Linked DNA regions of Macaca mulatta. The protein of the gene in region 2 interacts with the protein of the main gene of each other region in a biochemical or structural test. Links are inferred from orthologs where the notes say so. Each region holds a gene or a part of one and is shown on either strand. Other genes may lie near its edges. The genes, in order: DUSP1, MAPK1, PPP2CA, GAB2, JUN, CACYBP and DUSP3.

Region 1 (4,228 bases), on a different chromosome or scaffold from region 2:
CACAACGACGACAGAGGGTGGCCAGTGAAATCCCCTCCCCCAGGAGGGGAGGAAACCGCAGAATGTTCCTGACTCGGCACCCGGGCCGGTGGCGCAATGTTTATGTTTGTGTACCTAGCGCGTCGCGTCGCTGCAGCAGGCTGTGCTGTCCAGGGGGCCGTCACTGGGACTCAGGGCATGGATATCGCTGGGCGTTGGGGGCGGGGGGTCTTCCCAAGCGTTGCGATCCATGTCCTGGCAGTCCGCCCACAACGGCCCGGGATTGGATTTTGCCTTCAGCCTATAACGGAAGCGACGACAGGGAGCGAGGGTTGGGGCCGGCTTCTGTTCCGGGTTGGAGCCCCCCAGCCCAGCGCTTAGTGGGCGCTCACTCAGTATACTGCCTATTTGTGTAATAAAGGGATGGAGAAGCTCGGTCTGGAGCCAAGGTGACAGAAACGTGTCGGGCGGCCCCTGGGGGGAGCCGTCGAGTCGCGCTGCGGGTCGCCCCTCACCCCTCCAAACGCCAAACCCGGGAATCCACCGCGGGGCCTTGCGACCCCCGACCGGGATTTCAGCCCCTTGACCTGCCTTCCTTGGCTCCAAGTCTTCCAGGGGCCACAGACTAGGAATAGCATTATTTCCCGGTGGGGGTTTGCTCGCTTACACTTTCATGGCAAATGTAGATATTTTAAAGCCACCTTAAAGAAAGTCGGGGAAACAGGAAAGCATTGCCCTGAACCTCTCCGCCCCAACTCGCTCGAGTCGTTTTTGGTAGGAACGACTTTTCTATCGGCAGAGCTGTTCATTTTTCTCCAAACTTCATCTTAGGCGCCTCTGTGCTGCCCCACGCGCCGCCCCACCCCACACCCCAGTAGTGTGGTTCTGGGCAAGTCAGTAGCTTCGCTTGGGGAACCTCAGTTTCCCCGCCTGTTAGTGATGAGGAAATGAGAGAAAGGGGCACAAGAGTATGCAAAAGCGCAGGAAGCCCCTTTCGGCTCAGGTCGAAGGCCGAGGGGCACGGGGAAGGGGACTCGGGGAGGGAGAGACGGAGGAGCGGCGAGGCCAAGGCAGGTGGCACGTCGCCCATTCTCCCGGCCGCTCGCATCCCAGAGGTCAGCCTCAGCTGGCAGCGAGCCCTCCGCCTCCCCGCTGGGCCCGGAGCGCGGCGCGGGCCCAGTCCCTGGGGACGCGCCAAGAGCAGGCCGGACGGCAGGGCGGGGGCCGGGCCGCGAGCCAGCGCGCAGCAAGCGGACCCAGCTCCGAGGCTGATGACGTCTTCCCCTGTAGCTCGGCGGCGCCGGGCCGGGCAGGGCGGGTGACGTCACCGCCCCGTCACGTGATCACCATTCAAACAAACACCCTCCTCCCCCTGCGCGCGGGTCAGGCCCGCCCCGTCGCCCAGAGGCCTCATATAAACGAGCTCCCCGGATAGGGCTCGCTGCGAAGGACGTTCGGGCTGTGTGTGCGACGTGGTTCGAAGGGGCAGTCGGGGCAACCGCGAAGAAGCCGAGGAGCCCAGAGCCCCGCGTGACGCTCCTCTCTCAGTCCAAAAGCAGCTTTTGGTTCGGCGCAGAGCGACCCGGGGGTCTAGCTTTTCCTCGAAAGGCGCCGCCCTGCCCTTGGCCCCGAGGACAAAGAGCACCGCAGGGCTGATCACGCTGGGGGCGCTGAGGCCGGCCATGGTCATGGAAGTGGGCACCCTGGACGCTGGAGGCCTGCGGGCGCTGCTGAGGGAGCGCGCGGCGCAATGCCTGCTGCTGGACTGCCGCTCCTTCTTCGCCTTCAACGCCGGCCACATCGCCGGCTCTGTCAACGTGCGCTTCAGCACCATCGTGCGGCGCCGGGCCAAGGGCGCCATGGGCCTGGAGCACATCGTGCCCAACGCCGAGCTGCGCGGCCGCCTGCTGGCCGGCGCCTACCACGCCGTGGTGTTGCTGGACGAGCGCAGCGCCGCCCTGGACGGCGCCAGGCGCGACGGCACCCTGACTCTGGCGGCCGGTGCGCTCTGCCGCGAGGCGCGCGCCGCGCAAGTCTTCTTCCTCAAAGGTACGCCCTCGGGGAAGCTCGGGGCGGGCCGCACACCCCTGAGATTTTGCCCGGTACCCTCGGCTCTTGGCTCCCGGGGGGTCGCCCCACCTGCAGCGCGTGGGCGCTGGAGTACATTTATCTCTGGAACTTGTCATTGGCTTTGTTTGGCTCTGGGAACAAAGACTTGCCTGGGCCTTTCCGCTGTAAACTTCCAGCCCTTGGTGGGTGGGGGAGTCGTATGAAGGTGCCCTGTCCCGGCGTCACTGAGGAAAAAAAAAATGTCTTTGTATTCCCAGGAGGATACGAAGCGTTTTCGGCTTCCTGCCCGGAGCTGTGCAGCAAACAGTCGACCCCCATGGGGCTCAGCCTTCCCCTGAGTACTAGCGTCCCTGACAGCGCGGAATCTGGGTGCAGTTCCTGCAGTACCCCACTCTACGATCAGGTTAGTAGGTGTCCCTGCCACAGGGGAGAAGTAAGAACTGGCAAAGGCACGGAGGAGTGGTGCCAGGGAGAATATAGAAAGTGACCTGCAGCATTATTTATAACGGAGGGGACACAGGGATATGATTGTAGGCTCTACAGAAATGAATTTGCTGGTCCTGCCCAGGCAAATGGGCTTAGTTCCCTATTTATTTATCCTCCAGCAACAGAACTGAGTTCACTCGCTATCTGAAATTGACTTTTCCAGCAGAAAGTTTTTGTGGGTGTGGGCACTGGCCTTGGCTTTGAGCGAGCTTGATGAATGTTGGATATTTCTGGATTTCAGGGTGGCCCGGTGGAAATCCTGCCCTTTCTGTACCTGGGCAGTGCCTATCACGCTTCCCGCAAGGACATGCTGGATGCCTTGGGCATCACTGCCTTGATCAACGTCTCAGCCAATTGTCCCAACCATTTTGAGGGTCACTACCAATACAAGAGCATCCCTGTGGAGGACAACCACAAGGCAGACATCAGCTCCTGGTTCAACGAGGCCATTGACTTCATAGGTAAATGGAATGGATGCCTGGGGCTTTTCTGCCTCTCTCTTCTCATTTTAGCCCCTAAGCCCAACCTCTGTGGCAAGAGCTTGAAGTCTTATGAGCCTTCTTCCAGACATTCAGTATCAGTCTGGTGTGGGCAACATTCCTGCAAAATGTGAATTTGATTCAATGTCCCACTTTACAGATTTGCAAACTGGGGCTCACAAAGTTGAATTGACTGGTGTGAGATCTATCTGCTGAGTGGAAATCCCCAGTCTGAGTTTAAATCCTGTGCCATCCTTTGCGCAGTGCCCAAGTTGCTTCCATGAACAGTAGCCATGTGATGGCGTGTGGTGATGTTGACCATTTCTAGACAAGACACACATGACCTTTCTCAGATACACTGTACCTGGGCTTGGGGTGGTTCTCCTGAGCTCTCCAGTAACCAGCCGCTCCTTTTGTTTTCTAGACTCCATCAAGAATGCTGGAGGAAGGGTGTTTGTCCACTGCCAGGCGGGCATTTCCCGGTCAGCTACTATCTGCCTTGCTTACCTCATGAGGACTAACCGAGTCAAGCTAGACGAGGCCTTTGAGTTTGTGAAGCAGAGGCGAAGCATCATCTCCCCCAACTTCAGCTTCATGGGCCAGCTGCTGCAGTTTGAGTCCCAGGTGCTGGCCCCACACTGCTCGGCAGAGGCTGGGAGCCCCGCCATGGCTGTGCTCGACCGAGGCACCTCCACCACCACTGTGTTCAACTTCCCCGTCTCCATCCCTGTCCACTCCACGAACAGTGCGCTGAGCTACCTTCAGAGTCCCATCACGACCTCTCCCAGCTGCTGAAAGGCTGTGGGAGGTGAGGCTCTTCACATCCCACTGGGACTCCAGGCTCCTTGAGAGGAGAAATGCAGTAACTCTGGGAGGGGCTCGAGAGGGCTGGTCTTTATTTATTTAACTTCACCCGAGTTCCACTGGGTTCCTAAGCAGTCGTTGTGATGACTTAGCGTCAAGACATCTGCTGAACTCAGCACATTCGGGACCAATATGTAGTGGGTACATCAAGTCCCTCTGACAAAATGGGGCAGAAGAGAAAGGACTCAGTGTGTGAGCCAGTTTCTTTTTGCTCGCTCCTGTTTTTTGTAGAATCTCTTCATGCTTGACATACCTACCAGTATTATCATTCCCGACGACACATATACATATGAGAATATACCTTATTTATTTTTGTGGAGGTGTCTGCCTCCACAAATGTCATTGTCTAC
Region 2 (4,156 bases):
CATCTGTACCAATCTGGGTCTGTTTCCGAACGCAAATGTATCTCTCATGTGTTTCGACCCACTGACCCCTAATCCCTTACTCTCTGCTTTGTATTTCTTTTTTCTTTTCTTTCCTTTTTTTTTTTTTTTGGAGACGGAGTCTTGCTCTGTTGCCCAGCCTGGAGTGCAGTGGCGTGGCTCACCGTAACCTCCTCCTCCCGGGTTCAAGCGATTCTCCTGCCTCAGCCTCCCGTGTAGCTGGGATTACAGGCACCCACCACCACGCCAAGCTAATTTTTGTATTATTATTATTTTGTTTTCGAGACGGAGTCTTGTTCTGTCGCCCAGGCTGAAGTGCAGTGAGGCGATCTCAGCTCACTGCAACCTCCGCCTCCCGTGTTCAAGCCATCCTCCTGCCTCAGCCTCCCAAGTAACTGGGATAACAGGCGCCCGCCACCGCGCCCAGTTAAATTTTATATTTTTAGTAGAGACGGGGTTTTACCATGTTGGCCAGGCTGGTTTTGAACTCCTGATCTCGTGATCCGCCCGCCTCAGTTTCCCAAAGTGCTGGGATTACAGGCATGAGCCACCTCGCCCGGACTTAATTTTTGTATTTTCAGTAGAGACCTGGTCTCAAACTCCTGATCTCAAGTGATCCGCCCGCCTTGGCCTCCCAAAGTGACAGGCGTGAGACACCGCACCCTCCCTTCTGCTCTGTACTTCTTCATCCTACTTATCACAACTTGAGTATTACACGTATTTGTCTGTCTGTCTCTCTCTAAAAAGTAACTCCCAGGAACATGGAGTGTGCTCAACAAACATCTGAACCAACCTGATTCGCGTATCCTCTCTGTCTCCTTTTAATCTCAACAATTGTGTTTCACACTTTCTCAGTATGCAAATATCTTTCTCGGTCTGGGGTCATGCCTTTCGGTTTCTGCCCCAGTGCCAAGGCCTCTTAAGTTCATCAGCGTGTGGACCACGGATTCGCAGAGGCCTGAGCTGTGGCGCGGCCGGGCTATGGCGCGTCGTCGGGCCTCAAGCACAGCCCCTTGTCCCTCGCTGGCTCTGTTCGGTACTTCCTCGGGTGCTCGCCCGGGCCCCTGCCATCTCTCACTTCAGCCCCGTGGGTTCTGCCCCACGTCTGTCTCCCTGGGTGTCTGAAGAGACAAGTCCCGCGCCGACGCCCCCGCGAACGCACGTGACCGCGCCCGCTGGTGCCCCCTTAGTCAACGCCGCGCAGTACCCCTCCCGGAGCCCGCCGCTTCCGCTGGGCCGCGCGGCCCCGCCCCCAGCCGCTAGGAACCAATCCGCATGCACGCTGCTTGGCCCCGCCCGGGCACCCTTCTCGGCGCGCGCCCCTCCCTCCGCCCGCCCGCCGGCCCGCCCGTCAGTCTGGCAGGCAGGCAGGCAGTCGGTACGAGTTGTCGTGGGCTCTTCAGGTCTGCCACACGGCGTCTTCTTTCCTCCTCCCGGTCAGCGGCGGCGGCTGCACCGGCGGCGGCACAGTCCCTTCAGGAGGGGCGATAGAAGCTGAGCGGCGGCCGCCGAGCGTCGAGCTCAGCGCGGCGGAGGCGGCGGCGGCCCGGCAGCCAACATGGCGGCGGCGGCGGCGGCGGGCGCGGGCCCGGAGATGGTCCGCGGGCAGGTGTTCGACGTGGGACCGCGCTACACCAACCTCTCGTACATCGGCGAGGGTGCCTACGGCATGGTGTGGTGAGTGTCCGCGCCCGGCCACGCCCGGCCCCCCCGCCGCCCGGGGCCGCAGCGGACGCAGCCTCGGCCTCGCCGGCGCCTCGGCCTCGGGCGCCGCGGCGACCTCGAACCCGGACTTCACTGCGGTCCGCGCGCCAGGGCTCGGGCGGGGCCCTGGGCCGGTTGAGGTTTAGGTGGTGTTGCTCTCGCGCTTCCCGGGCCGGCGGTCGCTCGGGAAGGGGCGCAGCGTGGGGGGCGGGGGGCGGAGGCCGGGACTAGTGGACCCTCGGCCCCGGGCGCAGCGCCGCCTTTAAAGTCTGGACCCTCGGGAAGGCAACGGAAGCGCCTCCACCCCCCAATTTGCTAGTATCATGGCCTTCTTTTGGACTTTCGATTGTAAAACCGGGAATTCCATCAGATGCTTGTCGGTGTTGGCGGCGGTGGCTGCTGAGGTCCTGAAAGCGGTTCGCCTCCGTGTGTGTGCAGAACACCGAAATAATTTTTCTCTCCTCGCCTCTGTTTGCAGCCAACGGCTTTCATTAACTGTCCTCAGCGGTGCTAATGGTGGTCTCCGCGCAGGCTTTCTAAAATGGATTACTGACACCAGTGTTGGTGGAGTATTTCCGTCTTGAAGTTTGTACTTTCAAGTGGATTTTAATATCGTACTGCTAGCGTTTCAGGAAGGATAAACCAACATTACTCTCTTCATTTATTAAAGATCCATTTAGAGTTGGGCCTAATTTGACTTTTTTTTTAGCCCCCAAGTGAGCTCTTTTACCAGCATAAATGCTCCCAGATGTTTTAGCCCAATTGCTATGGACTCCTGTTAATGATTTAGTGGTCATTATGTATGCAGCCTTAATGGAGTTATTGCAGAATCACGTGTAGACTCCCTCATCTTGATTCAGGTCCCTTAGAAAAGTGAAATGATAGTGACGGTTTTTCTTTCTCTCTTTTTTTTGAGACGGGGTCTCGCTCTGTTGCCCAGGCTGAAGTGCAGTGGCGCGATCTCTGTTCACTTCAACCTCCGCCTCCTAGGTTCAAGCGATTCTCTTGCCTCAGCCTCCCTAGTAGCTGAGACTGCAGGCGCGCGCCACCACGCCCGGCTAATTTTTGTATTTTTTAGTAGAGACAGGGTGTCACCATGTTGACCCGGATGGTCTCGATCTATTGATCTAGTGATCCGCCCGTCTCGGCCTCCCAAAGTGCTGGGATTACAGGCGTGAGCCACCGCGCGCCGCTGACGGTATTGTTTTTATTAAAGCAAACTAGCGGTAGCATTTTGTGCTGGTGAGGACTTGTGGAAATAGATTTCCTTAAATCTGAATCTTGTGAATGTGTCTTTTGTGTTGACTGAAGGAAGTAAACTAATAATTTATTGAGCACTTCGTGGCAGGTACTGTGCTACATATATTATTTCATTTTATTTGAACAGCCACATTGAGGGAGGAAAAGATGGTGTTATTCCTTTTTTCAGGTGAGAAAGTGTTTCGAGGTGAAGCCAATTCCTGAGGTCATAGAACTAGAGTTATTAAGATTGTAGACTGAGATTCTACTAGACACACTGCAGCTCTTTTCAGCTGTCTTTAGGAAAACACTCTGCGTTCCTTAGTGTAATTAATACTTGCAGAATTTTCTGTATCTTACTGTTACAAAGTAAATACAAGTCTGTTTCAGAAATGTATTCAAATTTCAATCATCATAATTTTAGAAATGCCATAGAAGGCATGTTTTACCAAGTATGGTAGCTAGATAGAAAGATTAGTTAAAATTCTTTTAAAAGAGACTTTAATTGAATCTTTAATGTTTTCACTTTCTTTAGGAGCAAAATGCTGAATACAACTGTGAAAATTAATATGAACTCACAGGCTTAGGAGCCAAGAGAGAATTTAAATTAGGTCGAGCCTAAAAGAAATAAGGCCCTGAAAAGTAATGAAGAGAAAGTATTGCCAGTAGCATTATTTCTCCACCATACATCTCATTGCTGTTGCACTCACTGGGAAGCGTGCCAGTGAACATGTCTCATTATGAGAGGCTCAGAATTTCCCATCACATCCTTTGGCCCTTTTAACAAGATTAGCTTATCTAAAATGTGGACTGAAAAAAGTCTTTTACGTTTAGGACATGTCAATTGAAAAGATACCCCCATCTGATAAGATTTCTCCTGTCTGATAAGATTTTTACTAGTCTGAAGTTGTTTAGATGTGGGAACCACTTCTGTCACTGCTGTAGGCTTATTTGACCATCTGACTCTCCATTTGAAATGCTAAGTCCTCTTTTTGTGATTTTCTTTTCCTAAGTGAAATACAAATATAATTGGAATTTGAATCCTAGATCCAGATTATAGCCTTTTATCAGGTTGATGACATACCCTGCTGTTAACCTTCTCCATTGCACGTTATTAGCATTTAATAAATGTTGGCTAGCAGTGCTGGGTTTATGGAGGGCTTGTTGAAATATTCACTAATATTTGAATAGTGAT
Region 3 (3,500 bases), on a different chromosome or scaffold from region 2:
TTGTGTTTTTAGATACTTTTGAAGTATTATAAATGTATAAACATACCAAATGTCAATGTTTACATCAGCTGGTCACGGTGAGTCGTGGCTGTAATCCCAGCACTTTGGGAGGACAGGACAAGGTGGGCGTATTGCTTGAGTCCAAGAGTTTGAGACCAGCCTGGGTGACATAGTGAGACCTTGTCTACAAAAAAATAGTAATAATAATTAACCAAGTGTGGTGGCACAGGCCTGTAGTCCCAGCTACTCAGGAGGCTGAGGTGGGGAGAGTTGCTTGAGCCCAGGAGGTCGTGGCTGCAATGAGACTTGATCTTGCCACCCCACACTGTAGCTTGGGTGATGGTGAGACCCTGTCTCAAAAAAAAAAACAAGGAAGAATCTTGTTCAAGTAAAAAAGATTTTTTCTGAGGAAGAAATTCAAGAAAACATTTGCTGTAAATATTTAACAGTGAATATGTACATTATAGTTTATCTCAGTTGAATAGTTTCCAGCCATTAACCATGACAGTAATAATCTAGAATAGGCTGGGTGCAGTGGTTCGCGCCTGTTATCTCAACACTTTGGAAGGCTGGGGAGGGCGGAGAGGATCACTTGAGTCCAGGAGTTCAAGAACAGCCTGGTCAACATAGACCCCATCTCTACAAAAAGTTAAAAAAAAAAAAAAAAAAGCCAGGTACAGTGGTGTACACTTGTAGTCTCAGCTACTCAGGAAGCTCAGGTGGGAGGATCACTCGAACCTGGGAGGTCAAGGCTACAGTGAGCCATGGTGCACCACTGCACTCCAGCCGTGTGACAGAGCAAGACCCCTGTGTCTTCAAAAAACAAAACTCTAGAACAATAGAAATGATAACTGAAAAAAGCAAGTTCCAAAATTACATGCATTACATGCCAGTTGTAGCTTTGCAGAATGTACCGATGATGATCTGAACATGAAGCAAAACATGGTAAATAGCTGTTAGGGTGGCAGGCTTCCGCCTTTCCCTTTAAATAAATTGTTTGACTTTATCTTTACCTAAAAATCTTGGGGAGATTTTTAAAAAAAATTTTCCTAGGCAACAGACTGATTTTTATTAAATAATATTCAAAATGATAAAATGACTGTCACAGACTTTCCTAATATTAGAGAAGCATTGAGATGTGGTTTTAGCTTGAGCTGAATTTTCGTGATTAATATCTGAATTGTGTAAAATGCTACAAAATATTTTTGGAGGTTGTTATTTTCTGCAGCTGTAAAATGAAGGAGTTGGACTAGATGGTGGAAGGTTTCTGCGGTGACTCCAAATACTATGAAAAGAGCTAACCTGTGCTAAAAATAAAAACCCAGGATGAATCCAGTGCTCAAAGAGGAATGAGTGTGCTACCTTTAAGAGTTTATGCAAGCAGCCTGGGCAACCTAGTGAGACACCATCTCTTCAGAAAACAATTTTAGCCAGACATGTTGGCATGTGCTGTAGTCCTAGCCACTCTGGAGGCTGAGGTGGGAGGATTGCTTGAGCCTAGGAATTTGAGGCTGCGGTGAGCTACACCAGTGCAGTTGAACCTGGGTGACAGAGTGAGACCCTATCTGGGGGGGAGAAATTACTCATGGAGGTGTAATGGGCTGAATTGTAGCCCCCAAAATTCATTTGTCTAAGTCCTAACCCACAGCACCTCAGAATGTGACTGTATTTGGACAGGTAATTAAGGTAAAGTGATGGGGTCACATGGTTGGACCCTAATCCAGTGTAAGTGGTATCCTTATTAGAGATTAGGACACAAATGGGGAGAAGATAAGAGAGATGGAGATGATGAGCATCCATAAATCAAGGAGAGAGGCCTTCAGAAGAAACCAGCTCTGCTGACACCGTGATCTTGGACTTCTGCCTCTGAAACTGTGAGGAAGTAAATTTCTGTTGTTTAAGCTGCCTGTTCTTTGATGCTTTGTTGCGGCAGCCTTAGCAAAAGAATACCGGGAGAGAGGATGTTTCTTTCAGTAAATGGTGCTGAAGCAAATGGATCAGAATGTATCGTAGATCTAAATGTAAGAGCTAAAGCTACAAAACTTCTAGAATAAAAAACCAGAAAATCTTTCTCAGGTTAAGTAAAGATTCTTAGATATAACAAAAGCACAATCCATAAAAAATTGAAAAATTGGACTTTATCAAAATTAAGATTCTGTTTCTTCAAAAGATGACACCAGAAAAGAAGTACTTGTATTCAGATATTAGAAAACAAAAGCAAACAACAACAAAAAAACAACTTTTATAGCTCAATAACGAGACAGATAATTGTTAAATGGAGAAAATATTTGAATAGATACTTTACCCAAGAAGATGATACATGAGTGGTCAATGAGCACATGAAAAGCTGCTTGATATCAATTGTAATCAGGGAAATGCAAATTAAAGTAGCTGAGATACTACTTCACACCTATTAGAATGGTTGTAATCAGTAAGGTTGATAATACCAAGTGTTGGTTAATACCGGAGATTAAACTCTTCATGCATTGCTGGTGGGGATATAACATGGTCTAGCTACTTTGAAAAACAACTTGACGGTTTCTCAAAAAGTTAAACATTACCACATGATCCAACAATTACATTCCTAGGAATCTTCCCAAGAGAAATGAAAGCATATGTCCACAGGAAAACTTCCACGCATATGATTATGGCAACATTATTCATAGTAGCCAAAAACCTCAATAACATAATTACCAGTTCATCTTACCTGTGAATAGAGAAACAAAAAATGGTATAGGCGTACAGTGAAGGACTGTGCAACTATGAAAAGGAACAAACCACTGATCTATGCCATTACATGGGTGAGCCTCAAAAATATTCTAGGTGATATTAGCCAAAAGACTACATTTTGTATTCCATTTATATGACATTTCTAGAAAAGACAAACTTAAGACAGAAAGTAAATCAGTGGTTGCCAGGAGCTAGAGTGGGAGTGGAGAGTGACTGCATTAGGGATCTTTTTGGGATAATGGAAAGGTTCTAAAACTGGATTGTGGTGATTATTGCATAACTATAAATTTGTGAAAAATTATTGAACTGTAAAGTAGTTTATGTGGTTTTGTATGCCATTGATTATGTTTGGTATAAAGTTGGTGGTAGAGGGAGTTTGATTTTAGTTGAGATGATGTGGGCAAACATCCCATGGGCATTTAAACACTGTGTAGAGCTGTGGTTTTGGTTCAGTATGATATGAGGATGTGTGTTGTTTTTTCAACAAAATTGTAACTCTGCATTTTTTGCTATAGAAAGTTTCTTGAATTTTCATTGGTTTTTGAAAGAGCTAGTTGTTTATGTTTTGCATTTTGTTGTTTTAGGTTCGTTACCGTGAACGCATCACCATTCTTCGAGGGAATCATGAGAGCAGACAGATCACACAAGTTTATGGTTTCTATGATGAGTGTTTAAGAAAATATGGAAATGCAAATGTATGGAAATATTTTACAGATCTTTTTGACTATCTTCCTCTCACTGCCTTGGTGGATGGGCAGGTATGTGGATCT
Region 4 (4,062 bases), on a different chromosome or scaffold from region 2:
ATTTTTGTATTTATGGTAGAGACGGGGTTTTGGCCAGGCTGGTCTCGAATTTCTGACCTCCAGTGATCTGCCGGCCTCAGCCTCCCAAAGTGCTGGGATTACAGGCATAAACCACTGCGCCCAGCCTTCGAATTAAATCAGTTTTTTAAAAAATCGTTTTAAATAGTTATAACCTAGTTCATCAACTACTTTTTCCCCTTATCTCATATGCTTGTGGCATTCTTATAAAGAGGATTTCTCAGTACAATATAACATGACTATGATGTATACCAGAAGCAGCAGCTACTTTGGGGTAAATATACAGCCATTAGGCTGGGAAATACTTTCCAAGTTTGGTTCTGATGAACTCGGGCCTCTACTGAAATAAGCAAACTAGCAGAGTTTTAACTTACAACAGGATGCAAAAATTCTTAATACCCCCAAAAACAGTAGACGTAAAAGAATACTGTTCCCCGGAAGCTTAAGGTTACACAGATCAGCAGTTTCAACTGGGGGGAAACTGAACTTTCGAAAGGGCAGAGGCTTCCAGTCATGTAAGTGAACACATCACATCCTGGCCTAAGAAAAGCTGTTACTGAAAGCTGTTAAGGTCTGACACCTGATGGGCTGAAGGTGCATCGAAGATGGGAAAGAGAGGCTAAGGCCATCACACGATTCTAGATTCGTTCAAATGAGTGAAAAAGGTGCTTGACCCAAATGCCTCCAAACCTGGTTTTTTTGAACTAAAGTTGTTTGGGAACAAAAACACCCAAGAAATGGGTCATAAAGAGAGTCTGGGTGAGCGTTCAAGGAGCGGTAAGTCAAATGGAGATACAATGTCATACTGTTTGCAAATTGTTTCAAAAACAAGTTTCAAGGTTTAGTGTAGTGTTCAAATTTGAAAACTAAGGGTCACTTTTTCTTTTTTTTTTTACTGTGGACACTCTATTCCACTAGCTTGTATGGAAATCTATTTGTAAAGATAATTTTTGGAAGCTCTTTGGGACAAAGTTTTAAAAATATTTATTAAATTGTTAATAGTAAATCACTGCTCCTTAATCCTAATTAAAGTATTCAACCTTCCTAACGAACTGATACAAGCCTGAAGAGGAAAAAAGTGTATTTCTTAATAATTATACTTTGGCTACATAGACACTCCTAAAAATGAGCTTTCAAACTGAGATGAACAATTCACTGCTTCATCCCTCCTATAAATCCACGTCCACTTTCAAAAGTCATGTGCTAAATCAGAATTTTTTTTTTCCTAGCAAACATCTACGTAAGAGCCTGATTTCATTGACACACACACTTGCACTCCGCAACAACAACACTTCCTTTGAAAAACAGAATGTCACTTCCTCAGTCCAGAGGCCAGAAGTCCCTTGATTCTGATCTGGGGAGCCAAGACAGGAAATTCTGGTAGGCTTCTGCTTCTCCCCCCATGGACAGCCACTGGTGCAGCTGACAGAGGGCAGGGTCTATTCCGAGCTCCCTTGATGCACTGCAGCTGGAGGCAACGGCTCCCTTCCAGGCTGTGGGAGTGATCCCGGAGTCCGGCACCACAGCCCGTTAAACAAGGGCATTTCATGGGAAAAGGAGAGGGAGCAGATGAGAGACCTTGAAACCTTCCAGCCACCTTACCCCCACTTCCAAACTCCCGCGACTACCCTAGGACCATTTCGGCAAAATCTCAGTAACTGGCACCATCTTGTACTTTGACCTCACCAGGCAAGGCATCCTCTGGGGAGAGGGGTTAAAAAAAAAAAAAAAAAAAAAAAGCCAGAACTCCACGGCTCAGCGCCACGCCGTTCCACCTCCCCCAAACTGCCAGTTCCCCACCTAGAGGGAAGAGGCTGTTCCAGCGATGTCAGTAAACACTGTGGGTTGGCAACACCTGGGCGCCGAGAGCCTCGATCTCTCCCGACCCCAGACAACCGGGAGCTGCCAGGTCCCAAACCCGGGCCAGCCACGGGGACCAAACTGCAGTGTCACACCGGGGTCGGGGGAGGCGCCTGTGAGAGACGAACGGAATAAAGGGAGAGAAGGGGGACAAACAAATGAGTCACTTAATACAAGGGCTGCACATGCCGCTGACGCTGCCGGTGATGCAGCCGCGGACGGAGTGAGGCCGGCGGCCGGGAGGGGCGGGCGGAGAAAGGGAAGGAGAGGGCGTGAGGCGCTCGCCCTTTGTGGGGCCGTCCGCGCGGGCCCACAGCCTACGCCCCCCTTTCCCGCCCTCTCCCGGACCTGTGAGCTGAAGCTGCTAGGGGCCGCCGCGGAGCCCCAGCCCCGAGAGTCAACTCTCTCGGTCTCCAGAAGCCATCAATACAAACTTCGACACTATATTTAGTTTACGGGCAGACCGCCTGGGGAGGCGCCGACGCCGCGCCCGCCTGGCGGAGCAGGAGCCGCAGCCTCAACCTGCCGCCCGCCCCGCCCCGCCCCTCGGCGGCGCACCTGTGACAGGTGTGCAGGTACCCCACACGACCCTGGCCGCTCCTCGCCCCCGGCCCCCGCGGCTCCGGGCCCGAGCTCCCCAGCCTGCCGCCCCTCCGGGAGCCCCCCGCCCCTCCGCAGGCCCCGGAGCGCCCCCCGCCCGCCCGCCCCTCGGCGGCCGCGCCCGCACTCACATAGCGCCTCAACTTCTTCTCGGGAGGCGATTTCCTCAGCCAGCCGGTGCACACCACGTCGCCGCCGCCGCCGCTCATGCTGCCGGCCTGGAGCCCGCCGCTGGGTCGCGCGGACTAGGGCGCGGGCTCGGGCAGCTGGGGCAGCGGCCGGCGGTGCGCAGCTCGCGGGAGGCCAGGGGCGGGGCGGGCGGCCCGGCGGGGACTAGGCGGCGCGGCGCGCGCCCGGCGGCCTCGCGCGCGCCCGCTCCCCCGCCCCGAGCGCGCGCAATCCGCACTCTCCGCCGGGCCGCCGCGGGGGCAGTTGCAGCGGGAAGGCCGGCGCGCTCGCCACGCCCGCTCCCGCCGCGCCCCCGAGGCCGCCGCGCACGCGGACGCGGGGCTGGGGATCCGCCAGGACACAGAAAGCCACCGCCGCCGGCGAGCCCCGGAATCTCGCTTTCTCCTGAGGCCTCAAGCTGCGGGCGCGGAGGCCGGGGAGGCGGCCGCGCCCCTGGCGCTGGCGGGCGTGCGGAGAAGGGACTGCGCGCCCTCCGTCGTCGATCGATTTTTCACCGAGCGTCGACGGGGAAGGGATCCGAGGGTTGCTCGCGTTTCCGATCCATTCTGCGGGTCAGGTTCCTGCTGAAAGGAGGGACCCCTTCCCAGTAAGAAGTTCCTTAACTCTGGCGCCCCTCGGCGGGAGGAGGAGACGGACCTACTACGCGCCGGAGCCTTTGCACTCTTGGCTTACAGGATTGTCTTCAGTATTGTTCCCATTTTATGGACTGCCTAAGGGCAAGGGCTTGTACAAAGCCTAGCCAAGTTTCCAATTCAGGTGTGTGGGGGAGGAGGGGTCCCAGTCATCCCCTATTCAAAATGAGGGCATTGCCTTAATGGGATCAACCTGGGAGCCTCTCATTGCCTGGAAACAAAGTCCAGCTGAGTCCCTCCTACATTGCCTCTAGGAAAACAGTTTAGTATAGAAAACTCGCATGATTTGTAGAATGGAAGAAGCAAACCTAGTAAATATATTTCATAGTGAATTGGAAGGCAAGGTCAAGTGTAGAAGAACAAGAAATTGGGGTCCAAATTCCCCAACGTCCCCGCTCATTGACAGTGTCTCTCCAAGCAGCACTAAAAGGCAGGTCCTCCCTAACTTCTCTGATAAGTGGATAGTATCCTGTTTATTCAATGGGGAACCGTGCTGTGTGGACAGATGAATTGGAGAAGCAGCATCTTGCACTGCCCCACACAACCTTAGACTAAAGCTGTTTTGTTCATTTCTGTCTCTGTGCAGCTGAGATGTTTCAAGCAGTTGGACATCATTTGGTCCAACAGATCTTGATTGGGTTGGGGGAAGTTCACCCTCCTCAGTTTGGAAAAGCGAATCCGCTATCACGTACTTAGCTCTTCTAGATACCCTAGGAGTTTTAGCAGTCAGTCTCCTGGATCTAACATTTCACTGACTTTCTTC
Region 5 (4,117 bases), on a different chromosome or scaffold from region 2:
AGGGGTGGGGGGCGGGGGGAAGATAAAATAACAACCGCGGAAAAGGAACCACTTACATGTGTCTAGCGCTTCCTAGAGGCTACTCAGGATATGGGCCCACCACCCGGCCGGGAAGGCGGAGATTTGAAGTCCAGGTTCTACCCCGGGCTCCTGAGTTCTACTGCGTTACTTTATGCGAGTGTCCCCCGCCTTCTGAGCTTGTTTTCCCGGAAGCAACTCGGCGCGGGTGGAGAGTGTGTGCGTGTGTGTGTGTGTGTGCGCGCGCGCATGTTGTGCGTGTTGTGTTAAGCGTGTGTGTGTTGTCCGGGGGCGGGAAGGGGAGTAGACTAACACCGGGGTTCCCCGAGTTTCGGATCGCCTACACGCTTGTTCCCATCTGGACCCTGTTACCCACTAATTGCGCCCACTATAAAAACTGCCCCTCGGAGGCAAAGCTGTGATCCCCCGCGCCCTTTCCCCCACGGTCCCGGAGGATGAAGTGGGGTGCAACGGAGACTCAGCTGAGCGTCCAGTTTTGGGCAATACAAATCTCTCAGCTTCTAAGAGCAGCCAGACAACCCCGCGGACCATCCCTCCTGAACTTGACCGAGATGCAAACTTCGCAGCGTTTCTCAACGTGGGGGGCCGACTCTCGGGAGACCGCCCCCAAACTTAAGCCCCCTTAGGCTCGCCCCCAACTGGGACTTCACAGAGCCACCTTAAGGGCGGCGCTCCCGCCCCCCGGAAGTGCGGGGGGGCGGCGGACCTGGACTCTCAGCCTCCCGCCCCGCGCGGTGGCGGACGCCGGTGGATGACTTCGAGCCCCACAAGTGGGGAAACACAACCACCCCTCGCCCGCACCCTTGACCCAAAACAACTGGCCGGGTTCCCTGGCCTCCCGGGTCCCCGCATCCCCTGCATCCCAGTCCGCAGCCGTGAACTTGAGCCCCCTCCGTCAGATGTTGCGAGCGTCCGCCCGCTCGCGGCAGCCACCGTCACTAGACAGTCAAACCCCAAGACGTCAGCCCACAATGCACCGGGCGGGCCGGGAAAAACGGCCCGGGGAGGGGACCGGGGAAGAGAGGGCCGAGAGGCGTGCGGCAGGGGGGAGGGTAGGAGAAAGAAGGGCCCGACTGTAGGAGGGCAGCGGAGCATTACCTCATCCCGTGAGCCTCCGCGGGCCCAGAGAAGAATCTTCTAGGGTGGAGTCTCCATGGTGACGGGCGGGCCCGCCCCCCTGAGAGCGACGCGAGCCAATGGGAAGGCCTTGGGGTGACATCATGGGCTATTTTTAGGGGTTGACTGGTAGCAGATAAGTGTTGAGCTCGAGCTGGATAAGGGCTCAGAGTTGCACTGAGTGTGGCTGAAGCAGCGAGGCGGGAGTGGAGGTGCGCGGACTCAGGCAGGCAGACAGACACAACCAGCCAGCCAGGACGGCAGTATAGTCCGAACTGCAAATCTTATTTTCTTTTCCACCGTCTCTCCAACTGCCCAGAGCTAGCGCCTGTGGCTCCCGGGCTGGTGTTACGAGGAGTGCCCAGAGAGCCTGGTCTCCAGCCGCCCCCAGGAGGAGAGCCCTGCTGCCCAGGCGCTGTTGACAGCGGTGGCGAGCAGCGGTACCCACGCGCCCGCCGGGGGAAGTCGGCGAGCGACTGCAGCAGCAAAGAACTTTCTCGGCCCGGAGGACCGGAGACAACTGGCCCAGAGTCCCGGAGCGAACTTTTGCAAGCCTTTCCTGCGTCTTAGGCTATTCGGCGGCGGTAAAGACCAGGAGGCGGCGGACAGCCACGCAAAAGAAGAAGGACGTGCGCTCAGCTTCGCTCGCACCGGTTGCTGAACTTGGGCGAGCGCGAGCCGCGGCTGCCGGGCGCCCCCTCCCCCTCGCAGCGGAGGAGGGGACAAGTCGTCGGAGTCTGGGCGGCCGAGACCCGCCGCTGGTCGGCCTCTGCGGGTCGGCACTGATCCGCGCCGCCGGGAGAGCCGCTGCTCTGGGAAGCGAGTTCGCCCGCGGACTCCAAGGAACGGCGGCGCCCGAAGAGCGCTCAGTGAGTGACCGCGACTTTTCAAAGCCGGGTAGCGCGCGCGCGAGTCGACAAGTAAGAGTGCGGGAGGCATCTTAATTAACCCTGCGCTCCCTGGAGCGAGCTGGTGAGGAGGGCGCAGCGGGGACGACAACCAGCGGGTGCGCGCGCTCTTAGAGAAACTTTCCCTGCCAAAGGCCCCGGGGGGCACGGGTGTCCCCCGCTTGCCAGAGCGCTGTTGCGGCCCCGAAACTTCAGCACGCAGCCCAAACTAACCTCACGTGAAGTGACGGACTGTTCTATGACTGCAAAGATGGAAACGACCTTCTATGATGATGCCCTCAACGCCTCGTTCCTCCCGTCCGAGAGCGGAGCTTATGGCTACAGTAACCCCAAGATCCTGAAACAGAGCATGACCCTGAACCTGGCCGACCCAGTGGGGAGCCTGAAGCCGCACCTCCGCGCCAAGAACTCGGACCTCCTCACCTCGCCCGACGTGGGGCTGCTCAAGCTGGCGTCGCCCGAGCTGGAGCGCCTGATAATCCAGTCCAGCAACGGGCACATCACCACCACGCCGACCCCCACCCAGTTCCTGTGCCCCAAGAACGTGACAGACGAGCAGGAGGGCTTCGCCGAGGGCTTCGTGCGCGCCCTGGCCGAACTGCACAGCCAGAACACGCTGCCCAGCGTCACGTCAGCGGCGCAGCCGGTCAGCGGGGCGGGCATGGTAGCTCCAGCGGTAGCCTCGGTGGCAGGGGGCAGCGGCAGCGGAGGCTTCAGCGCCAGCCTGCACAGCGAGCCGCCCGTCTACGCCAACCTCAGCAACTTCAACCCAGGCGCGCTGAGCAGCGGCGGCGGGGCGCCCTCCTACGGCGCGGCCGGCCTGGCCTTTCCCGCGCAACCCCAGCAGCAGCAGCCGCCGCCGCAGCCGCCGCACCACCTGCCCCAGCAGATGCCCGTGCAGCACCCGCGGCTGCAAGCCCTGAAGGAGGAGCCTCAGACAGTGCCCGAGATGCCTGGCGAGACGCCGCCCCTGTCCCCCATTGACATGGAGTCCCAGGAGCGGATCAAGGCGGAGAGGAAGCGTATGAGGAACCGCATTGCTGCCTCCAAGTGCCGAAAAAGGAAGCTGGAGAGAATCGCCCGGCTGGAGGAAAAAGTGAAAACCTTGAAAGCTCAGAACTCGGAGCTGGCGTCCACGGCCAACATGCTCAGGGAACAGGTGGCACAGCTTAAACAGAAAGTCATGAACCACGTTAACAGTGGGTGCCAACTCATGCTAACGCAGCAGTTGCAAACATTTTGAAGAGAGACTGTTGGGGGCTGAGGGGCAACGGAGAAAAAAAATAACACAGAGAGACAGACTTGAGAACTTGACAAGTTGCGACGGAGAGAAAAAAGAAGTGTCCGAGAACTAAAGCCAAGGGTATCCAAGTTGGACTGGGTTGCGTCCTGACGGCGCCCCCAGTGTGCACGAGTGGGAAGGACTTGGCGCGCCCTCCCTTGGCGTGGAGCCAGGGAGCGGCCGCCTGCGGGCTGCCCCGCTTTGCGGACGGGCTGTCCCCGCGCGGACGGAACGTTGGACTTTTCGTTAACATTGACCAAGAACTGCATGGACCTAACATTCGATCTCATTCAGTATTAAAGGGGGGAGGGGGAGGGGGTTACAAACTGCAATAGAGACTGTAGATTGCTTCTGTAGTACTCATTAAGAACACAAAGCGGGGGGGAGGGCTGGGGAGGGGCGGCAGGAGGGAGGTTTGTGAGAGCGAGGCTGAGCCTACAGATGAACTCTTTCTGGCCTGCCTTCGTTAACTGTGTATGTACATATATATATTTTTTAATTTGATGAAAGCTGATTACTGTCAATAAACAGCTTCATGCCTTTGTAAGTTATTTCTTGTTTGTTTGTTTGGGTGTCCTGCCCAGTGTTGTTTGTAAATAAGAGATTTGGAGCACTCTGAGTTTACCATTTGTAATAAAGTATATAATTTTTTTATGTTTTGTTTCTGAAAATTCCAGAAAGGATATTTAAGAAAATACAATAAACTATTGAAAAGTACTCCCCTAACCTCTTTTCTGCATCATCTATAGATACTAGCTATCTAGGTGGAGTT
Region 6 (4,197 bases), on a different chromosome or scaffold from region 2:
TCTTTTTATTATAAAGTATCCACTGAAAAAACTTAAAACTGAGACAGTTCCTCAGTTCTGTTGTTGGCAGACTTGAAACCAAAAAAAGATCTGCTTTTTCTGCACAAATACTTTAAGATGTCCTAGATAGTTTCTTATCTAATTTATCATGTAATTTTCCTTGCCTTCTTGGCATGTATTTGTTTTACGTATATAAAAATTTTATTTCCCTTTTATCCCTACCCGTAACGCATTCAAGCTCTATCTTCCTATTTCCTAATTTTTCACTAGGAGGCATTAACACCAATGTGCCTCAAAAATGGGCAAAGGAATTCAACACACATTTCTCCAAAGATACAGAAATGGACACCAAGAACATTAAAGATGCTCAACATCTTCATCATTGGGTAAACGCATATCAAATTCCCAAGATACCACTTCACACCCAGCAAGATGGTGTTATAAACCAAGAAACAAAAATAGAACACCCCAGAAAATAACAAATGTTGATAAGGATGTGGAGAAACTAGAAGCTTCAAACACTTCTTGTGGAAATATGATGCAACCACTCTGGAAATAGGTCTAACAGTTTCTCAAAAAGTTACCATTTGAACCAGTAATTCCACTCCTAGGTATATACCCCAGAGAACTGAAAACACATCCACACAAAAAACTTGTACACAGCACTCGCAGCAGCATTATTTTTATGCTAGTCAGGAAGTGGAAATAAGCCAGGGCGCCATGGCTCACACCTGTAATTCCAGCACTTTCAGAGGCCGAGGCGGGCGGGCAGATCACTTGAGATCAGGAGTTCGAGACGAGCCTGGCCAACGTGGTGAAACCCGGTCGCTACTAAAAATACAAAAATTAGCAGGGCATGGTGGCGCGCGCCTGTAATCCCAGCTACTCAGGAGGCTGAGGCAGGAGAATCCTTTGAACCCGGGAGACGAAGATTGCAGTGAGCCGAGACTGCGCCACTGCACTTCAGCCTAGGCGACAGAGCGAGACTCCATCTCAAAAAAAGAAGTGGAAATAAATGTCCATAAACGGATGAAAGGATAAACACAATGTGCCATACGCATATAATAGAATATTATTTAGCCATAAAGAGCATGTGTACTAATACACTCTACACCATGGATGAACCTGAAAATGTTAGTGCTAAGTTGAAGAAGCCAAAAAACAAAAGGCCACATACAGCGTGACTCCATTTATATGAAATGCCTAGAATCCGCAAATTCACAGAAAGTATAAGATGAGTAGTTGTCAGGGGCTGAGGGGGAATAGGAAGCAATTGTTTAAAAGACACTAAACGGTTTCTTTTTGGAGTGATGAAAATGTTCTGAAACTAGACAGTGGTGATGGCTACACTACACTGAATATATTTAAAAAAAAAAAAACAAAATACCTGAATTATACACTTTAAAATGGTTAAAAACTTGAATTTTATCTCAAACAAAACAAAAATGAAGTGCCCTTAAATGTCTACTTCTACGTACCTAAACTGAGAACGTTCTCTACTCTCAAGAGGACTAATACTGAGCTATCCACCTGCATGACTGATGTTCTCTCCTAGGGGCACATAGTACCCAAGACCTACCTTAAAAGACTTGTCACAAGATACCTAGATTAATACTAGAACACACAAATCTCAGAGTTTTTCTTCATTTAAAGAAAAGATTTTGAGTTAAAAAAAAAAGGCTTGGGATTTCCCAGTACTTGTTTTCATAAAGCAAATCTAGTTACTACACACACAACACTTAACTGTGAATAACTGTTCCGTCTTCACCTCCCCCTTAGGCCAGGAAATGAGCAATACAAGTACTATCATTCCCATTTTCTAACTGAGCAAACCAAGTCTCCATAAAATTTAATTCTCCAACGTTCAGAGTTTACGGAGCTTTAACACAGGCCATTGGGTTTCTTACTATTAATTACAACTAATTTTCCAAGTTATTTATTTTAAAAATCACATACAGCAGATTGCTGTTTGCCAATCACTGGTTTAAACCCCTAGAAATCATACTTTTTAACAACTCTATGAAACGGATGCTACTGCGACACTGAAAAGCTAAACAACTTGCCCAGAGTAACACAGCTCCTCGTGTGTAGAGAAAACATGACTAAGAGAATTCAAGTGCTAGCACCGAAAACTTCTCACCCTCCAACCGCCCTCTACCATAAACGACACTCATGTTTGCACCCAGCTTTGCTTGAATGAAGCTTCCTGTCCTCTGGCTGGGAAACCAGCGCAGAAAGGGCCTGAGGAACACGCGCAGGGGGCAGCTCTCTCAGACCCACTCCCCGCACCGCCTGCACGGAGAATCGCCGCACACCCCTGCTCCGGCCCGGCAGGCGGGTGGGGTGCGAGGCCGAGGGGAAGCGCGGGGAGCCGACGGCGCAGGAAAGGGCGAATGAGGCGTCCCCCAGGGAAGGCGGCGCGCCGACTGCCGCGGCACCGGGTCGCCGCAGGGCGGCTCAGCCCACGGAAACGGCGGTGGGGCGGGAGGCTGGCACTGCAGCTCCAGCCGGGGAGCATGAAGAAGATGGGGCCGAACCACTTACCTCTTCTGAAGCCATGGGGGCTGGATCAGGCCGAAGGCCCGAGCTGCAGCCGCGCAGAGGAGAGAACAGGAAACGCCGCGCGGAGCCCTCAAACCGAGCGCAGACGCCCACTCGCACGAGTCGCGGCGCCGCAGCCCGCGAGCACACCGACCCTGCGCGAGATCGCAGCCCGCCTCCCGCACGCGACGGATCTGGAACCTTCGCGAGGCCGCCGCCGCCACCGCCCACCGCGAGCACGCTCCACCCGCCAAGCCTGGCCCCACCCCTCCCCGCCTCGCAGAGTGTGGCCCCGCCCCTCCCCGCCCCGCCGAGTCTGGCTCCGCCCGCCTGCCGAATCTCCTAGCAACGCTCAAGTCTCGCGAGCGAACCAGCAGTCCGAGCAGAGTAATGCCTTACTCTCCACCCCGACAACTTTATGTATTGTAATTTGACCGCACTAGGCCAGGCTGCGCAGTCGCAGCTCGGAACCGCTGCCTTAACCCAGCCCCGGAAATAACGTACCGATTTTCGGAGTCCAAGTCGGAAGATGAGTAGAGTCTTCCGTCCGTTCTAGGACACCAGACACACCAGGCAGCCATGTTGTGTAAGGCTAGTCTCTCAGCCTCCGCGAGAAGGCAAAAAATGGGGAGAAGGAGCTGCCTGGTTATGTTCAAACGAGAATGAATGGATATGTTAAGCGTGGAGGACTCCTAATGGTAGCGGTTTGATTTTCAGTGAGTTTGCCGCAGTGGAGACGTCACCGCTCTCTGTCCGCTCCGACCTCGTGTCGTCATCATTGGCCGCGGTAGGAGGTGGAGCTGCGTTGGCCACATGACCCGGCCCCGTGGCGGAAGCCCAGGTCAAGGCCCTAACGAAAGGGTCGGCGTTTGGCCACAGTTTCAGACCCTCCTTTTGTCGTGGACTGTTGAAGCATAATTTCCTGGTGCTTTCGCCTCTTTCACCGACCATTTCAAGAGTCCGTAGTTCTCGCCTGGGTTTGGATTCGGTATAAGTGAGCCTGTTTACCATCAAAGAAAATGGTGGAATGTCTTCTGGAGACGATGTTCTCTTCTGGTTCTAACGCTGCCTCTCAGCGAGACCCCAGAGAAGCCTAGTTTTCAGGTTATTCTAGTCCTTGGCAGGCTCAAGATGTCAACAACACGGTTGGAAACAACCCCTCAGAGATCACATAGCCCGCGCTCAGCTTTTTTGATCGTCCAAGGCGGCGACCCCTGAGAGGTTACATAGCGAGCACTCAGCTTTATAGATCGCCCAAGGCAGCGATTAGAATCAGCAACTCGGAGAGGAAAAAAAGCTCTTAGCGAAATGGAGGCTGACCATTATCTGTAATAAAGAATCGGAAGTACAGTACAAAAATAAATTACCGAAGCGCAACATGCGTGAATTTCACACAAAAAATAACATTAAGGGAAAGAAGCCAGACACAGAAGAGTTCATATTGTGTGGTTCAATTTAAATGAAGTCTAAAAACTAGCCCATGGTGTTAATGAGCGTAGTGGGAAGGACAATGACGTGGAAGAGCCACCAGGGGGCTTTTGAGGTTCCGGTAATGTTACTTGATTTAGACACTGATTTATAAATAGGTGGGTTCACTTTAGAAATTAAGTTGTAAACGTATTTTTATGTACGTAGTTTCTTCTATAGATTATATTT
Region 7 (4,250 bases), on a different chromosome or scaffold from region 2:
GAGCATGGCTGGCTGCCTCTGGGCTTGTGTTTTTAATGCTAACCTAGGCTCAAGTCAAGGAACTCGAAAGCGTTCTCCCCTGCTTAGAATGCAGATGCTACCAGCCAACACCAGAAGGAAAGGAGTGGTGTGCTGGGAGGGGTGGCCAGGGATGGGGTGGGGTGAGGGGTACAGAAATTCCAGCCTTGGTTACACATCTTGGGCTATCAGCTAAGTAGTCTCCACTGCAATAGCTTGCCTGAAGGTGCAAGACCACAAGTTTTGGGGGAGGAGAAAGTTGACCCTAATGATAATCTGATCCAATTCCTTTTGCAAATGAGGAAACTGAAGACCACAGCAGCAGCAATGTTACTCAAGAACCAAATTAGGCCGGGCGCGGTGGCTCAAGCCTGTAATCCCAGCACTTTGGGAGGCCGAGACGGGTGGATCACAAAGTCAGGAGATCGAGACCATCCTGGCTAACACAGTGAAACCCCGTCTCTACTAAAAAATACAAAAAACTAGCCGGGCGAGCTGGCGGGCGCCTGTGGTCCCAGCTACTCGGGAGGCTGAGGCAGGAGAATGGCGTGAACCCGGGAGGCGGAGCTTGCAGTGAGCTGAGATCAGGCCACTGCACTCCAGCCTGGGCGACAGAGCGAGACTCCGTCTCAAAAAAAAAAAAAAAAAAAAAAAAGAACCAAATTAGTGGCAGGGCTGGGCTCAGGATGTGGGGTTCCTGAATTCAAGGCCAAATTTGCTCTTTGCAGGAAGGGAACTGCCAGTCTTTCATGGCAGTAGGGGAGGGCGGCTTTCCTCCAGTACAGACTATCTTTTGTACTTAGTGGGAGTTCAGGAAATGCTGAGTGGCTTATGGTGGGCTGGCATCTGCTCCAGGAAGGGCTGCAGGAGTCTGATTGATCTCCACCCCAGCACAGGGTGTAGCACCCACTGGGTGCTCAACGCATTTGTTGAGGAAGGACCAACACTTATTGAGTGCTCGCCATGCAGTGCTGGGTGCCTTCCTTGAATGTCACATTTAACTCTTCCAGCAATCACCTGGGCGCTTGATTCTGTCAAGCGCCCGGGTGATGCCTCCACAGCAGGGAGCCGCTCACGAGCCGAACCCCGCGGTCCCTGTAATCCTGAAAGACTGAAGGAACCTCTAGGTGTACCCCCGCCACAGAAACGTTTATTGGGCCCTGCATTTAATTCAGGGAAGGAAGTTACCGCGCTTCCCAGTTTACAAAGATACACAAAGATACACAAACGGCCTGGACCGGGATGGGGCGAGGATTCCCGAGACTCGAGGGCGGTGGCGTCTCCCCCCGGGGACGCGCCCAGGAGTGGCGCGCTGGGCCCCCGCGTCACGGCGCCCGCGCTCCTCAGCTCCCGGAGCCCTGCGGGCCCGCCCCTGGGGCGGGACTGGGCGGCTCCCGGAGCGAGCCCCCGCCCAGCTGACCCGCCGCTCTCCGCCTCGCTTGCTCCTGCCGGGCGTGCTGGGCCCCGCCGCCGCCATGTCCGGCTCGTTCGAGCTCTCGGTGCAGGATCTCAACGACCTGCTCTCGGACGGCAGCGGCTGCTACAGCCTCCCGAGCCAACCCTGCAACGAGGTCACCCCGCGGATCTACGTGGGCAACGCGTGAGTCCCCCCAGTGAGCCCGGCCCCGCCGTCCCTCTCGGGACGCCCCGCCCACTCGAGGCCGGGGTCGGGGTGTCGCGAGTCTTGGGTTGGGGGAGCCCGGGCGCGATCGCCCCTCCGGGAGCCACAGCGGGGGCTTGGGAGGTGGCTGGAGTCGACGCCTACCCCAGCGCGTGGGGCCAAGGAACTGGAACCCTGCCTGGCCGGGCGCGGCCATTCCCCGTCGCGGGGTGCACGGAGCCCGGGGGGCGCCTGCCTGGGTCCTCAGCCGCCACCCCCTTGGGGCTTGGCCTTGGGCGGGGTCGGGGCTACCATGTTCACTTAACAGGTGGCCCTCGGTCGCCCGGCCGGTCTCCTGCCAGCGCGTCATGTGACAGCTGCCTGGTTCTGCAGTGAGGTCACCGCGGAATGTCTGCCTTCGCCGCCATGGCAACGGGCCGACGTCACAATTCGGGCATGGAATTTTCCTGGCCCGGCAGTCCCGGATCAGGGAACCTAAACACCCCAAACGAGCGAGTCCGGGGAGCTGGGCCGGGATTTCCAGGCCCCCACCTTCCAGATGTGGTTTGATTTACAGGAGATTCTAGAACGGTCCACTGATAATCCCCCTAAGGACCTGAGCCATTACCTAGAAAAGGCTCTTGACCTTTCACTCCCAGGCTCTGTCACCCTGGCTGGAGGGCGCGATCTCGGCTCACTGCAACCTCTGCCTCCTGGGTTCAAGCAATTCTCCTGCCTCAGCCTCCCGAGTAGCTGGGATTACAGGTGCCCACCACCATGCCTGGCTAATTTTTGTATTTTTAGTAGAGATGGGGTTTTGCCATATTGGTCAGGCTGGTCTCTTGGCCAGGCTGGTCTCAAACTCCTGCCCGCGTCGGCCTCCAAAAGTGCTGGGATTACAGGCGTTAGCCACTGCGCCTGGCCAGTAAGAATTTTTTTTTTAATTTAAATTTTAAAATTTTTTATAGTAAGAATGTCTAATCAGCAGAAGAGAACCAGTGTTAGAATTCTGAGATGTGAAATAGGAGCCACAAGAAAGAATAGATTAGCATGCCTGTACAGCCTTGGAAAGGCTCAGGTTGGATTTTCATGAGACTCTGAGGACCCAGTTACCAAAATCCTAAGCTCCATGGCTCAGCCCAAGGATGGCATGTTGAAAATTCAAAACTAACCCTCCTCCCATTTTACAGAGGAGGAAATGGTGGCTCAGAGTGTGTGAGGGACTACAAGGACAGGGTCAATGTCTTGTTCATGTATGTATTTCCTGACCTCTGCTAGGACCTGCTGTTCAGCCTGCCAAGGACTGCCACAGAAATGGGGTTCATCGTGGAACTAGAAGGGGTCCATCAGGCCCTAGCCTCATGGGGACAGTTCTCATCCATTCCATCATTCATTCACCAGTCTGAGCGCCTACTTTATGTCAGGCACTGTACAATGTTCATTCATAGTAGAGATAGTAATAATGATAATGGTAAATTTTTTGAATATTGAATTATTAATAGTATTAGAGGCCTGGCGCGGTGGCTCACACCTGTGATCCCAGCACTTTGGGAGGCTGAGGCAGGCGGATCACCTGAGGTCAGCAGTTCAAGACCAGCCTGACCAACATGGTGAAACCCTGTCTCTACTGAAAATACAAAAATTAGCTGGGCGTGGTGGCCGACGCCTGTAGTCCCAGCTACTTGGGAGGCTGAGGCAGGAGAATCGTTTGAACCCGGGAGGTGAGGTTGCAGTGAGCCGAGATCGTGCCATTGCACTCCAGCCGGGCAACAAGAGTGAAACTCCATCTAAAAAAAAAAAAGTATTAGATGAATGGGAGTGACTCTTCAAAGGATTTTTTTCTATCAGCCACTGCTTTACAGTCTTGTGCAGTGTCCTAAGCAGGAATAAACAGAGTCCCACAGTGTCAGCCAAAGGCTTCAGGAATTGCAAAGCTCTAGAGACACCCTTCCTCTTGCCCCAAGCAGCAAGCAGGCCTTGTTAGCCTCAGGAACGCCGCTTGCTTGGGCAGCTTGGCCATTCAGCTGTCATCACTTCCCAAGTGGAAACCAAGGTTGTGCACGTCTGGTGTAGCCAGAGTGGCAATTGCTGATGGCCCCTGTAGAAAATACATCCCTTGCCCTCTAAGCACATCTGACTTTGACTTGGCCAGGGGTGTGGAGGTTCCTCAACAGGAAGGATCAGTGAGCACCAAGCACCAAGAGGACTTGGGCTCCATCCCCTTAACAAAATCAGGGCTGCAGCCATGTCCTCACAAGGCAGAGACAGAGCCTGTGTGAGCCACATTTGCCAGGCCTTGGGGGTTTTGCAGCAGATGTGGGCATGAGAGGCAGAGTGAGGTGTAAGATAGAGCAGGGCTGGATGTCGGGAGAAAGGAGATCTTCCCCCAGCTCTGCCACCGGCAGCACATGGGGCCTGTGCTTATCCCTCTGCTCATCCTGTTGGCCCTGAGTTCAAGCTCTGTTAAGCGGGGATATTGCCATCCTTGTTCCTCACAGGGCTGCTCGCAGTAAGCAAACAAGATCACATAGGAGGTAACATTTTATAAAGTATAAACTGCCATTTGGGCTGGGATGTTTTGTGAGATGAAATAAAAGGGCCTTTTCACCATTCAAACCAATTATGATTTTTA

What was found.
Region 1: of the proteins of MAPK1 (region 2) and DUSP1, one has a biochemical effect on the other in vitro, tested with the Homo sapiens proteins (2 studies listed by BioGRID and IntAct). The link is inferred for Macaca mulatta from reciprocal best matches to the Homo sapiens genes MAPK1 and DUSP1.
Region 3: of the proteins of MAPK1 (region 2) and PPP2CA, one has a biochemical effect on the other in vitro, tested with the Homo sapiens proteins (2 studies listed by BioGRID and IntAct). The link is inferred for Macaca mulatta from reciprocal best matches to the Homo sapiens genes MAPK1 and PPP2CA.
Region 4: of the proteins of MAPK1 (region 2) and GAB2, one has a biochemical effect on the other in vitro, tested with the Homo sapiens proteins (2 studies listed by BioGRID). The link is inferred for Macaca mulatta from reciprocal best matches to the Homo sapiens genes MAPK1 and GAB2.
Region 5: of the proteins of MAPK1 (region 2) and JUN, one has a biochemical effect on the other in vitro, tested with the Homo sapiens proteins (2 studies listed by BioGRID, with this or other methods). The link is inferred for Macaca mulatta from reciprocal best matches to the Homo sapiens genes MAPK1 and JUN.
Region 6: of the proteins of MAPK1 (region 2) and CACYBP, one has a biochemical effect on the other in vitro, tested with the Homo sapiens proteins (2 studies listed by BioGRID). The link is inferred for Macaca mulatta from reciprocal best matches to the Homo sapiens genes MAPK1 and CACYBP.
Region 7: of the proteins of MAPK1 (region 2) and DUSP3, one has a biochemical effect on the other in vitro, tested with the Homo sapiens proteins (2 studies listed by BioGRID and IntAct). The link is inferred for Macaca mulatta from reciprocal best matches to the Homo sapiens genes MAPK1 and DUSP3.

The regions. Positions count from the first base shown.
Region 1 is NC_133411.1:181,644,710-181,648,937, reverse strand, and holds the start of DUSP1 (dual specificity protein phosphatase 1), read left to right. Parts: upstream 1-1,428; 5' UTR 1,429-1,661; coding exon 1,662-2,028; intron 2,029-2,306; coding exon 2,307-2,452; intron 2,453-2,776; coding exon 2,777-2,996; intron 2,997-3,438; coding exon 3,439-3,809; 3' UTR 3,810-4,228. UniProt on the Homo sapiens protein: Dual specificity phosphatase that dephosphorylates MAP kinase MAPK1/ERK2 on both 'Thr-183' and 'Tyr-185', regulating its activity during the meiotic cell cycle.
Region 2 is NC_133415.1:31,122,731-31,126,886, forward strand, and holds the start of MAPK1 (mitogen-activated protein kinase 1), read left to right. Parts: upstream 1-1,356; 5' UTR 1,357-1,576; coding exon 1,577-1,695; intron 1,696-4,156. UniProt on the Homo sapiens protein: Serine/threonine kinase which acts as an essential component of the MAP kinase signal transduction pathway. MAPK1/ERK2 and MAPK3/ERK1 are the 2 MAPKs which play an important role in the MAPK/ERK cascade.
Region 3 is NC_133411.1:143,104,930-143,108,429, reverse strand, and holds part of PPP2CA (serine/threonine-protein phosphatase 2A catalytic subunit alpha isoform), read left to right. Parts: intron 1-3,314; coding exon 3,315-3,488; intron 3,489-3,500. UniProt on the Homo sapiens protein: Catalytic subunit of protein phosphatase 2A (PP2A), a serine/threonine phosphatase involved in the regulation of a wide variety of enzymes, signal transduction pathways, and cellular events.
Region 4 is NC_133419.1:78,843,459-78,847,520, forward strand, and holds the start of GAB2 (GRB2-associated-binding protein 2), read right to left. Parts: upstream 2,801-4,062; 5' UTR 2,688-2,800; coding exon 2,610-2,687; intron 1-2,609. UniProt on the Homo sapiens protein: Adapter protein which acts downstream of several membrane receptors including cytokine, antigen, hormone, cell matrix and growth factor receptors to regulate multiple signaling pathways.
Region 5 is NC_133406.1:181,864,979-181,869,095, forward strand, and holds JUN (transcription factor Jun), read left to right. Parts: upstream 1-1,317; 5' UTR 1,318-2,301; coding exon 2,302-3,306; 3' UTR 3,307-3,634; downstream 3,635-4,117. UniProt on the Homo sapiens protein: Transcription factor that recognizes and binds to the AP-1 consensus motif 5'-TGA[GC]TCA-3'.
Region 6 is NC_133406.1:32,456,533-32,460,729, reverse strand, and holds the start of CACYBP (calcyclin-binding protein), read right to left. Parts: upstream 2,801-4,197; 5' UTR 2,560-2,800; coding exon 2,545-2,559; intron 993-2,544; exon of another isoform or gene 732-992; intron 1-731. UniProt on the Homo sapiens protein: May be involved in calcium-dependent ubiquitination and subsequent proteasomal degradation of target proteins. Probably serves as a molecular bridge in ubiquitin E3 complexes. Participates in the ubiquitin-mediated degradation of beta-catenin (CTNNB1).
Region 7 is NC_133421.1:68,127,572-68,131,821, reverse strand, and holds the start of DUSP3 (dual specificity protein phosphatase 3), read left to right. Parts: upstream 1-1,450; 5' UTR 1,451-1,493; coding exon 1,494-1,618; intron 1,619-4,250. UniProt on the Homo sapiens protein: Shows activity both for tyrosine-protein phosphate and serine-protein phosphate, but displays a strong preference toward phosphotyrosines. Specifically dephosphorylates and inactivates ERK1 and ERK2.